Oryctolagus cuniculus: one gene and its partners. Each later gene encodes a partner of the first gene's protein in a complex. Links are inferred from orthologs where the notes say so. Each region holds a gene or a part of one and is shown in the gene's direction. Other genes may lie near its edges.

Region 1 (4,225 bases):
GGACCATCGCTGAGAGGCACAAACCCCAGTGGTTCCAACTTTGGTTCTCTGATGCTTGGTGGTTTGAATTCAAAAACTAACTTCCCACTTGAGAGCCTGGGAAAGTCAACCTCCTGTGGGCCTGTTTTCCCACCATAAGAAAAAAAAATACAAAACTATCATAAAACTTTTTTTAAAAAAAGATTTATTTATTTGAAAGGGAGAGTTACAGAAAGGGAGAGATATCTTCCATCCGCGGATAGCTCTGGTTAGGTCAAGCCAAAGCCGGGAGCTTGGCTCCTCCCACGTGGGTGGCAGGGGCCCAAGCACCTGGGCCATCTTTGGCCGCCCTCCGGGGCACATGAGCAGGGAAGTGGCTCAGAAGTGGAGCAGCCCCAAACTTTTTTTTTTTTAAGTGTTGGTTACCACCGCCAGGCACAGACGCAACGCTCCTTAACGTGACCTAGAATTGCCGCCGCCCTGAGTCCCCGGGCGGGTGACTTGACCGCCTCAGACAGCCGGCTGGGTGTGAGGCTGACGAGGCTGGGGGGATGGACACTAGAAGCTGAAGGTGGCCGGGACAGCCTCTAATTAGGTCCGAGGGCGGGTCTCGCTTGAGGCGTCCCAATTTCTCCTCAGGGCGCAGCTGGCGGCGGGAAAGCCGCTCAGGTCGCCGAGGCCTGGATATTTCTCTTGGCCGAGAGCCCGCAGCCCGTCTCGAGGGGTTGCATTTCTGTCTCGATGAGCTCCCGGCTCTCTCTGTTTCCTCTTTGGCTCCCACTGACGGGCAGGACGCGGAAAACTCCACTTGGCGTTGCCTGGCTACCCAGCCTTCCCGCGCTCGCCTTGGCGCCTACTGCGGCTGCGCGAGCCGTCAGGGCGGGCCCCAGGGGCTCCTCCACGTGCGTGCGCCCTCTGCCGGCGACCAACGATCTTTCAAGTGCGCGTGCGCCTATCCACCAGGCCCCGCCCCTGGGCTGCCGGCGCGCGAAGCCGTTGGCCCCGCTCCCGACTCGCCCCTTCCCCTCAGAGGGCGGGGCGGGGCCTCCCCAGAGCCCGAGGCGGGGGGGGGAGGCGGGGACATGGGATGCCACACCCCCGCCCCGGTCCCTGTTTGAAGCCCCTCTACTCTTCATCGCTGGCCAATCCCAGCCCGCCCTGTCCCGAGCGCCGACCAATGGGAGGCGCGCTCGAGCTGCTTCCGGCTCCGCGCTCCGCTCGCCCCTTCCTCAGGTCTCCCCGCGACGGGCGGGGCTCGGGGGCGGGCGTCGGCCGCGGTGACGCGCGGCGGGCCGGGAGCCAATGAGGGGCGGGCTCGGAGCTGATGGACGGGTCCAGCGGCCAGTGGCGAGGCGCTGGCCGCACTTCCCGTCGAGGAGAGAGTGTAATATGGCGAAGACCTACGATTACCTGTTCAAGCTGCTGCTGATCGGGGACTCGGGGGTGGGGAAGACCTGTGTCCTGTTCCGCTTCTCCGAGGACGCCTTCAACTCCACTTTCATCTCCACCATAGGTAGCGGGGCTGGGGAGCGGCCGGGGGCGCCGGAGGCCCGGGCCGGGCGCGCCCCTGAGGGGCTGGGGCTGAGGCATCGACCCTGGCCGAGGGGCAGCGGGCTCTCAGGGGGTCTGAAGGGAGCCGAGCAGCTGGCTCCGCCGCGCTTCGCGGGTTCCCGGGCCGTGGTGGTGCTGGGGACCAGTGCCTGTTTGGCGAGTGGGTAGACTGAGGCTCCCGCCTCTCAGCCCGCTCCGTCGGGAGTGTCGGTCCGGGGCTGGGGTTTTGGCGCCCATCCTCTCGTGCCGTCCTCGCAGCCCCTTGCCAAGCCAAGTTCATCTGTGGGCGTTGTGGGAGGGGTCGGTCGTACAGAAGTGGATGCTGGGGCACTTGCGCTCTGCCAGCTGCGTGATCGCGCCCTCCTGGGGCTGCAAGTTAAGGTGTTTGTCACGAACCCATTTCGCGGATGCGGGATTTGAGGCTCAGGGTGGCCGGGGGACTTGTCCAAGGTCACACAACCTGCAGAATAAATGGCACGGATGAGACTTGAACCTCGATGCGTCTTGACAGCCCAGAGGAGCCACTTGGGAGCAACACTCCGACCCCCACCTCTCTCTCCTGCTTTTTCCCCTGGGACTGGACTTTAAGGACTGAGCCTCCTCCCTGGCCCTGGAATCGTGAGGGAGAGTGAGGAGCATTTACCCTGCCCCGCCCTCTATCCCACTCAAGGGTGACAGCCCCAGTGAGTGACAGCTGCCCGCCCAGGGACCTGTCATCCCCTCCCCCAAGGAGATGCAAGATACAAGGCTCCGTGAGAAGCCACAGACAGCACCCCACTCCCTATCACAGGGCCCAGGACTCCGTGGTTGTCCCACTGAGGGAACAGCGCTTCCGGCTGGGCCACCCCACGTGGCGGCTGAGCGGAATCCACTTGTCTTTTTCTGTCGGCCCTGCTGACTTCTCATCACCGTGCCACAAAAGCCAGCCCCTGCCCACGATGACAAGGCTGGACCCGGGAGGCACAGCCGTCCCACAGTGGCCTGCGAGCTAGGTAGCCCTGTTCAGGAAGCAGAGGGGACAGTCACCCAGTCCAGGGGTTGACCCCAGACTGAGGAAACTTAGGGAATGGCTTCCCCCCACCCCACCCCACCCCACCACTGCCACCACCACCATGTCACTTGAGCCACATCTCATTATCACCCGGAACTCCACCATGCTGGAGGTCACCATGCCTGCTTTCCTGTTGCTCTTTGCCCTGGAACAAGCACTACCCCTCTCTGAGCCCCGTGTCTTCAGATTAGAACTCCATACAATGAATGAACGGCCGCCCGTGGCCCAGAGCGACAATCTGGGGGAGACCGATTGGTTCCTGGAGTCGCCTCGCGTGGCGGGAGGTGGCACGGGAGCCAGGGTCCTGTCCTGTCCTGCCACACCAGTCTTCTTCCTGTTACATTTGAAGCCGCCTTAACGGGGCTCTGGCTTCTAGGCTTTGCTCAACCATGACCTTGGAGTTAACGGGCCTCGTAAAGTGTGCGCTTGCTAATTGAACCTCGCGTGTTCCTAGAACCCAGGAGGAGTGCAGGACAGAGGGCTGCTCTAGGGCTCAGGCGACTGAGCAGTGCATCTTGAGTTTGTGCAGCCCAGTGACAGGAGGTGCAAAGGATCCGCGCCCGACTGCTTTATCCCTGAGACAGAACTCAGGCACAGAGCCCTTGGATATTGGTATCGAGTGCCCCTCTGGGTTTTCTTAATAGATCGGGGATTGAATGGCTGTTCATTTGCTTCCCTGGGGTTACGTCTTGCCAAGGCCCATTCTTAGGAGCTCCATCCATCATCTGTGGTGTGAACTTGGCCCTGCGGCTCCCTGCGATCCATTCTCTACCAGCCTGGCTCCGTCCCCGCCATCTCCTCGGGGACCCCGCTCCGTGCCTTCTGCGAGACGGATGATGTTTGTGCAAGTGCCTCCCTCACCACGCGCGGCCACCTACACCCTGTGGCTCTGTGGCATGCCAGCCGCCTTCCACGGACATCTGGGCATCAGCACTGGAGCCAGGGCTTCAGAGCCGGCTCGGGTGCATCAGGAGGGGAGGTAGCGACGGCACGAGGCTGGGCGTTTTGTCCCTGTGACAGCAGCAAGGAAGCTGCGTGCAGCCCATTGCCTTGGCAAAGTTGCTAATGGGCAGAGTTCGAGTGCACGCTTGGGTTTGCAGCCACGAACCTGGAGCTCCATCCGGGTCTCCCATGTGGGTGGCAGGGGCCCCAGGCACTTGAGCCGTCTTTGGCTGCTGCCTTCCCAGGCGCATCCACAGGGTGTTTGGATCGGAAGCGCGCAGTAGCTGGGCCTTGAACCGGCGCTCATCCGGGATGCCGGCACCAGCCCCTTTGTAACAGCTTCAGTGAGATAATGGGGTACCGTACGGTGTCACCCACCAACCAGGTACAATTCAGGGGTGCTTTTCTGCACTCACCACAATCCGTTTTGCATTTTGGTCATGCTGGAAGAAACCCCCACCCTCCTCCGCCAATCCCCAGTCTCCCACTCTCCCCAGCCCCCGGCAACCCCGAACACACGCCCGGTGTCTGTGGGCTTGCTGTTGTGGACATTTCTGTCACAAGGTAGAAGAGGTGTGGCCTGGTGCGTGCAGTTTCTCTCGCTCAGCATCATGGCTTCCAGGGTGCATCCCTGCTGCAGCGAGTGTGGGCACTTTGTTCCTTTTTGTGGCTGGGCAGTATTCCACTTTGGGTTGGTCCAGT
Region 2 (3,610 bases), on another chromosome or scaffold:
CTCCCCACCAACCCACACGGAGGCTGCCCTCTTCCCAGGAAGCCCACAAGATGGTTCGAGAGGCCAACATGAAGCAGGCGGCATCCGAGAAGCAGCTGAAGGAGGCGCGGGGCAAGGTGAGGCCTGGCCCCTCCTGCCCTGGCCCTCCTGGGGCACCCGCCCAGCCCTGCCAGCTTCGGCCTTTGCTGCCCGATTAGACCAATGCAGGGCAGGAGAGCAGGGCAGTGGGGGGCTCTTGATCACACAGCCCAGGCCCTGGACTCTGCCAGTGTGTCTGCTGCTCCAGTGAGACTTTTCTGGGGCTTTCCAGGGGCTTCCGAGTCCCTTTACAAAGCAGAAACCCCAGTGAGCCTGGGAAGTAGCTCCCAGCCTTAGAGCCTGTTTACCTATCTGTAAAACGTGTGGCCTGGGCCCTCCTGGCTCCCAGGGCCCCAGGACTCTCCGGGAGACCTGGCCCCTCCCACACACTTGCTCCTATCATTCCTGCTCATCGGGAGACCTGGGGCAGGCCTCCTCTCCTCCGTGAGCCTCAGCCTATCTGTGGCATGGCTGCCTGGGCCCCTGCCTCAAACGCTGTTCCAAGGGTGATGGGTGGGGTTAGGTGCTAGTTGCTGCCCGGGGCTGACCCTGATGGGTGATGGCATCCCGGCCAGATTGACATGCTGCAGGCGGAGGTGACAGCCTTGAAGACGCTGGTCATCACGTCCACGCCGGCCTCTCCCAACCGCGAGCTCCACCCCCAGCTGCTGAGCCCCACCAAGGCTGGGCCCCGGAAGGGCCATTCGCGCCACAAGAGCATCAGCAGTGCCTTGTGCCCCGCTGTGTGCCCCACCGCAGGGCACACTCTCACCCCAGACAAGGAGGGCAAAGAGGTAAGGGCGGGCTGTGGGCACGGGGGCGGGAGACGGCCCTCACGGTCAGCCGGGTCGGAGCCCCGCGCGGTGTGACCTGGAACCTGTCCTGCCCCTTTCTGAGCCTGGGTCCTGGGCTGTGAGGGCTGGGCACAGGCTACTGGGCCTCGTGTGGCCACAGCCCCCGTGAGATGCTCTGTAGCACCCTCTGCCTATCCAAGCGTGGCCTTTGGAGGGGGTCTGCCTCCCACCTGGGCTGTGCACACGGGGTCCTGGTCCAGGCTGGGCTGACACTCCTGGCACTGGGTCCCTGAGCCACTGAGGCCACCTGTCAGGGGCTCAGTTTCCTTGTCCTCCTGTGGCCAATGGGCAGGCGAGACAAGGGTGTCAAGAGCCAGCTCCGTGCTGCTTCCGGGGGACACTGGAAAGACAGGTGGTGCAGCGCAGCCGCCTGGGTCCTCAATGCCAAACCCAGCCAGGCCTCGTCCTGCCATCACCTCTGTCCCTGCAGCTGTTGGAGGAGAGGCACGGGGCAGCCCCTGCATCTCCTTCTGAGCTCTAAGCTTTCTGATTGGTCACTGACGTCTCCTCCTTCCTCCTGTCTGTCTGTCTGTCTGCCTGCCTGCCTGTCCTCCTGCCCAGCCGGGGCTGCCCCCTCTTCTCTCCCTGCTCCTGTGCGTGATCCCCAACAAGGCCGTCCACCTCACCTACGAGCCGGCCTGGCAGCTCCCGCCCGGGGAGCCGCCTGCAGCCCCCACCTCCGCTACCTCTCTCTCCTTGTCCCGGCAGGTAATGGCTCCAGAGAGGGGCCCCCCGCTGCTCCGGGCAGCCTGATGCACTGTGCATGCCGCCCAGGGCGGGCCTGTGTGGTCCCCATGAACTTCCCCCCACCCTGTGTGCATGCGCCTGTGAGTGCGTTGTCACCTGCCCGGGCGCGTGGGGTCCTGCTGGTTTGCTCTCAGCAGTGAGGGACCTCTGGCAGGGTGCTTATCCTGTAGCACGGAGAAACAGGAAGCACGCCTGAAGTCAGAGCTGGCAGCTTGCAGCTCCCAGGGGCAAGGAGGCAGAAGGAACGCTGCTCCCTGCTCGGCCAGCCTCTGGGGACAGACCTCACCGCCCCCTCCCCGGCACGCTCTTCCCCTGATCTGCCTCCTCTGCCATGCTGGCCCCCAGCACCCTAATTACCCCTCCCCGGCAGGTGGACACGACCCTGTTTGCAGAGTTCCAGGCCTGGCGGGAGTCGCCCACCCTGGACAAGAGCAGCCCTTTCCTGGAGAGGGTGTACCGGGAGGACGTGGGCCCCTGCCTGGACTTCACCGTGCAGGAGGTGAGGCGGGTAGATGGCGGCCAGCCGGGGGGCACAGCCCGCACCCTACAGCAGGGGCCAGGCCCCTCACCCCCACCCCCACCCCCGCCCTGGTCTCTGCAGCTCTCGGCGCTGGTCCGGGCCGCCGTGGAGGACAACACGCTCACCATCGAGCCCGTGGCTTTGCACACGCTGCCTGCTGTAACGGTGGCTGCGGTGGAGTGCGGCAGCGCCAAGTAAGCTCCGTGCCCTTTCCTGCCCACGCGGGAAAGCCCTGCCCAGCAGGTGGACAGTGAGGGCTGAGTCTCAGCGTGGAACCCCAGGGGGTGGGGTGGGCGGGGCTCAGGTATGACTGGCTCCTGACGGGAGACGGACAGCTGTGGCTCCCTTGCAGGCAAAGGAGGCAGCTTTGATGGGTCTTTGGGGAGCCCCAGGCCCTCCAAGGGAGTGCCAGAGCTGGACTCCTCCTTCTGCTGGCTGGCTGACCCCTGCTCCCCCTACCTCCCTGTCCCCCTCACTGAGTTCTGACACACACACACACACACACACCCCCCACTAACGCAGAAGTGATGTTCAGTGGCTGGCAATGCCTCCTGCCAATAAGTAGTCCAACGACCCTGGCATCTTGTCCCCTGTACTACACAGGCAGCACTGAGCAGGGGCAGCAGCCAAACCCGCTCGCCAGGGTAGGTGGAGCAAGGGGCAGAGACTGGGGAGGATTCCCTCCAGGATCTGGCCAGGGAAGCTGACAGCATGGTGGGAGCCTCACCATGGAAGGGGACTTGTGAGCTGGTTTTGCCAGGTAGGGGAGGGAGCAGAAGGAGCGGCCGTGTGAGGAGCCGGGGCAGTGGGCTGGACAGGGAGTCGGCCAAGCCTGCAGAGGGTGACTGGGGCCAGAGTGGAAAGAGGTTGGGGCTGGTGCTTTGTCAATCCAGTCACCTCCAGTCTGTTCAGACAGCCACCGTGACCCAGAGAAGTCCTGCACCCACGCAGCTGCTTAAATCTTTCACCTGGGAGTCTCCCTAAAGCCACTGGGAAGGCGAGGGAGGGTGTTGGGAGGAGTCGCTGGCTGGGATGCGGTTGAGAGGGGCTGGGAGGGGGAGGAGGTGTCGAGGCAAAAGGCCTGACCCAGCCTGGGGATAGTGACCCTGTGCTGGGGTGGTCACCCAGAGGTCTCTGTCCAGGCAAGAGCTGGGTTTGGAAGTGGGAGACCCAACGGGAGGCCCTCAAGCCGCAGAGACCCGCCGTGCGGGTGGCTGGACATGCCTGGGGGGAGGAGACAAGGTGGCCTGGGAGGGGGGCTCTTCGTGGGGCCTGGCTGGCCGCAGCTGAGAACCATGGGGGAGCTAAGGGGACTCAAAGAGGGTAGGATGGGCAAGGCAGGTAAGCACTGGGGGGTTGGGGTCAGGGACAGACCTTGGCTCCTGCGATTGGGTCTGACGTTCCCAATAAC
Region 3 (3,610 bases), on another chromosome or scaffold:
GTAACTCGTCAAGGACTGTCCCCTCTGGCTTTCCTCATGCTTTCAGTTCTCAGCACTGAGTGTCGGTTGTGGTTTTTACTGGCAAAGGTTTGAGTACAAAATATGTGCTAGTAAGAGGGGGGAGGCTTTATCTAGAGCTGGCTGCTTTCAGGGGTTCGTCAGTTCCATTCTCCACCTGATTGACTGTGGAAAACCTGCTGGAAACTTGGTAGGCTTCTTCATCTCACTATTTCATCTAGGGAGCACACTGTCATGGCTTGTATGAAGGAGAGTGGGTGGTGTCAGCGATCTGCCTCATCCAGATTTGCTGCTGGAGTTTCTCCGTAACTCTTCCCTGAGACTGCACTCTCTCCACTTTTTTTTTTTTTTTTTTTGACAGGCAGAGTGGACAGTGAGAGAGAGAGACAGAGAGAAAGGTCTTCCTTTGCCGTTGGTTCACCCTCCAATGGCCGCTGCAGCCGGCGCACCGCGCTGATCCGATGGCAGGAGCCAGGAGCCAGGTACTTATCCTGGTCTCCCATGGGGTGCAGGGCCCAAGCACCTGGGCCATCCTCCACTGCACTCCCTGGCCACAGCAGAGAGCTGGCCTGGAAGAGGGGCAGCCGGGACAATCTGGCGCCCCGACCGGGACTAGAACCCGGGGTGCCGGCGCCGCTAGGCGGAGGATTAGCCTAGTGAGCCGCGGCGCCGGCCTTTTTTTTTTTTTTTTTTTTTTAAAGACTTATTTGAAAATGAGAATAACAGAGAAAAGAGAAGAGGCAGAGAGAGAGAGAGAGAGAGAAAGGTCTTCCATTTGCTGGTTCACTCCCCAATTGGCTACAGTGGCCGGAGCTGTGCCAATCCAAAAGTCAGGAGCCAGGAGCATCTTCCAGGTCTCCCATGCGTGTGCAGGGCCCCAAGGACTTGGGCCATCTTCCACAGCTTTCCCAGGCCGCAGCAGAAAGCTGGATTGGAAGTGGAGCAGCTGGGACTCAAACCAGCGCCCATAAGGGGTGCTGGTACTGCAGGCGGTGGCTTTACCCGCTACACCACATTGCCAGCCCCTCTCCACTTTTTTAAAACTATCTTCTAGACTACAGCAATAAGCACCCTCCCTACTCCGCCATCTTGGAATTCCTTACCCTTAACTTTGATTCAAGGAATTTGAATTGGGAGGAAAAAAGCTCACATTGATATCTTAAAAGGAAATCTATAGGAAAGCTTGGATATGCTCAGCCTTCTTTTGCCTTTGTGTAGACTGCTTGCACATCTGGTTAAGCGTCCGAGAGGCCGCCACGGCTGTTGTCAGTGGGGCGTTTATAGCACACCCAGCACTGTGGACCTGGTTGGTGTGGCGCTGTGTGAGGACCAGTGAGACTGCTCTGTGCTGGGGTGGTTGGCGTGTCTGGTGCAGGTGCTGATCTGGGCTGAGGGAGCCTGAGGGTCTGTAGGGAAGAGGACTTGGGGAAGATGTACTGTAGAGGGGCAGCCGGGGATGGCCAGCCACAGGTGTGGCTAGGAAGGCAGTGCCGGCAGGCGCCTCTGTGGATAGTTCAGGTGGTAGTTAACTTGATGTACCGAACTATTTAAATAAATGCTGAGTTTTAAGATAGTTTAGTAGGTTGTGTGTGTGCTTTTTTGTCTAGTTGCCTACACAGCAAGCATCTTGGCATTTTTAAACTAAGTGCCTCCAGGTTAATAGAACAATTAGTGTCAGCTTATGACCTCAAATCAGGTCTCACTCTTACTTTATTTAGCTTGACTCCAAAGTACTTGTTCATTAATTTCAGAAAATACTTATCATCCTTTTTTATATTCAGAACAGTACGTACCTGTGTCTTCAAAGGAGCTCCAACAGGGTAATGGCAGCATCAGTGGACACCGTCATGGATACTATGTGGATACTACTAGGCCCATCAGACAGTTTTCTTAAAAGTCAGTTTTCTTATAGAAAAGTTGGTACTGTGTATTATAGATAATTAAGAATGGTCCAGTTCATTATGTTAAATAAGGAGCATTTCTTTTTTAGTAATATTTGTATTATGTTTTGGTTTTACAAAATGGTTTTTTGTTTGCACTTTTTAAAACTTTTTTATGTGTTTCCTTTTGGCTTGTTTAGGCTGATCTGTCTCTGTATAATGAATTCAGGTCTTGGAAGGATGAGCCAACAATGGACAGAACATGTCCTTTCTTAGACAAAATCTATCAGGAAGATATCTTTCCGTGTTTGACATTTTCGAAAAGTGAGGTAACTTTTTTTTTTCCATGTTAATGGGAACACATTAGATTTGATTCTGTACGTTTTATGAAGTCCTGTTCCATATTTTAATATATCTGATATAAGTAGATTATCATGAAGTGTCATGCTCAAGCATTTTCTCCGTCCTGTATTAGATCCTAATGTCTTGGCATTTGATTACTGAATATCTTTCCTTATTTGAGCAGAGCATCATTCATACTGAGACTTGCATTGTGTTCAAGAGAAGGATGAAATGTCTATGGGAGTAGGGCTTATATTTTTTGATTCGTAGTCCAAGATTCAGCATAAGGAAGTTCTCTGTACATTCTGCTTAAGGCATTTGTTGAGTTTATCTGTACATGATGAAATCACACTTCTTTTCTTTTCTTCTTCTTTAAAGCATGAAAAATAATGCCCTCTTTGCTTAAGTCCCAAGGGTGTTAACAGGATAAAATGAAGTATGTACTAGGTTGATAGAAAATTTTTTAAAATTTTATACAGATGTAAAGATTAAATTTGTTCTTGCATGTGGAAGGTTTATCCACAAATATCCTGTCAGTATTGAAGAAATTTAATCCTGAGAGTCTTAGTTACGTCTTTCAAGGATTTAATTATAACATTAATTTGTAGGAAGAAGTTCAGATTAACTGTGTAACACTTTGGATAGGAATCTGTGTTGTTGTTTGTGGCCGTGTGCCTGGATTCAGGTGGGCCGTTCAGTGTTCGTAATCTTGGCAGGCTTGAGAAGTGTGCCTTTTTCATTTGTTGTTTATTGGTTGTGCCCTTTCCATCTGGGATCTAATATCTGATAATTCAGTGAATTACTTCGTGCACATATGTGCAAGTTCAGAAAGTAATAGCCATAACCAGCATATACTGCTATGTGATAAATGACCAACACACAAAAAAATTGCATGTGTTCAGTGGCATAAGGCATTAGAATATTCATTTTGAAGTGGCATTAACAGTGGGTATTTAGTTGTAGGTAGGGAGGACACAGAGACTGGGATTAATAACTTTAATCCTCCTCCAGGTCATGAGAAAAGTTATTTCACCATAACTGAATTGCCTTTCATAACAGTGCTTGAATTATAAGAGAAATCAAATTAAGATTATGCGATGTCTTTCTTACTTGTTGGCTAAGGCCAAGCTAGTGGAACTTGGGGGAAGAATCATGTATAAGATTAGATGACTGTGGAGTACAACGTTGGTATTTTCCTGCAAGCATAAAGTCTAATACTTTTCACTTTGTTGAAGCTGGCTTCAGCTGTTCTGGAGGCCGTGGAAAACAATACCCTGAGCATTGAACCAGTGGGGCTGCAGCCGATTCGATTTGTGAAAGCTTCTGCAGTTGAATGTGGAGGACCAAAGTAGGTTTTTACACCTGTGACT

What was found.
Region 2: the proteins of RAB8A (region 1) and RAB3IL1 are in contact, whole or in part, in a crystal structure (PDB 4LI0), measured with the Homo sapiens proteins. The link is inferred for Oryctolagus cuniculus from reciprocal best matches to the Homo sapiens genes RAB8A and RAB3IL1. Residues at the interface, in NP_005361.2 of Homo sapiens: Lys10, Phe33, Ser35, Phe37, Ile43, Asp44, Phe45, Lys46, Ile47, Gln60, Trp62, Thr72, Ile73, Thr75, Ala76, Tyr77, Arg79; in NP_037533.2 of Homo sapiens: Arg104, Glu108, Leu111, Glu112, Thr115, Ala116, Phe119, Glu120, Ala122, His123, Arg127.
Region 3: the proteins of RAB8A (region 1) and RAB3IP are in contact, whole or in part, in a crystal structure (PDB 4LHX), measured with the Homo sapiens proteins. The link is inferred for Oryctolagus cuniculus from reciprocal best matches to the Homo sapiens genes RAB8A and RAB3IP. Residues at the interface, in NP_005361.2 of Homo sapiens: Lys10, Phe33, Ser35, Thr36, Phe37, Ile43, Asp44, Phe45, Lys46, Ile47, Trp62, Ile73, Ala76, Tyr77, Arg79, Gly80; in NP_783322.1 of Homo sapiens: Ser199, Arg202, Asp203, Gly206, Leu209, Glu210, Thr213, Ala214, Phe217, Glu218, Ala220, His221, Val224, Asn228.

The regions. Positions count from the first base shown.
Region 1 is NC_091447.1:64,696,598-64,700,822, forward strand, and holds the start of RAB8A (ras-related protein Rab-8A), read left to right. Parts: upstream 1-1,320; 5' UTR 1,321-1,368; coding exon 1,369-1,492; intron 1,493-4,225. UniProt on the Homo sapiens protein: The small GTPases Rab are key regulators of intracellular membrane trafficking, from the formation of transport vesicles to their fusion with membranes.
Region 2 is NC_091432.1:10,263,210-10,266,819, forward strand, and holds part of RAB3IL1 (guanine nucleotide exchange factor for Rab-3A), read left to right. Parts: intron 1-38; coding exon 39-116; intron 117-653; coding exon 654-872; intron 873-1,493; coding exon 1,494-1,640; intron 1,641-2,049; coding exon 2,050-2,178; intron 2,179-2,280; coding exon 2,281-2,393; intron 2,394-3,610. UniProt on the Homo sapiens protein: Guanine nucleotide exchange factor (GEF) which may activate RAB3A, a GTPase that regulates synaptic vesicle exocytosis. Promotes the exchange of GDP to GTP, converting inactive GDP-bound Rab proteins into their active GTP-bound form.
Region 3 is NC_091442.1:72,361,139-72,364,748, forward strand, and holds part of RAB3IP (rab-3A-interacting protein), read left to right. Parts: intron 1-2,098; coding exon 2,099-2,227; intron 2,228-3,475; coding exon 3,476-3,588; intron 3,589-3,610. UniProt on the Homo sapiens protein: Guanine nucleotide exchange factor (GEF) which may activate RAB8A and RAB8B. Promotes the exchange of GDP to GTP, converting inactive GDP-bound Rab proteins into their active GTP-bound form.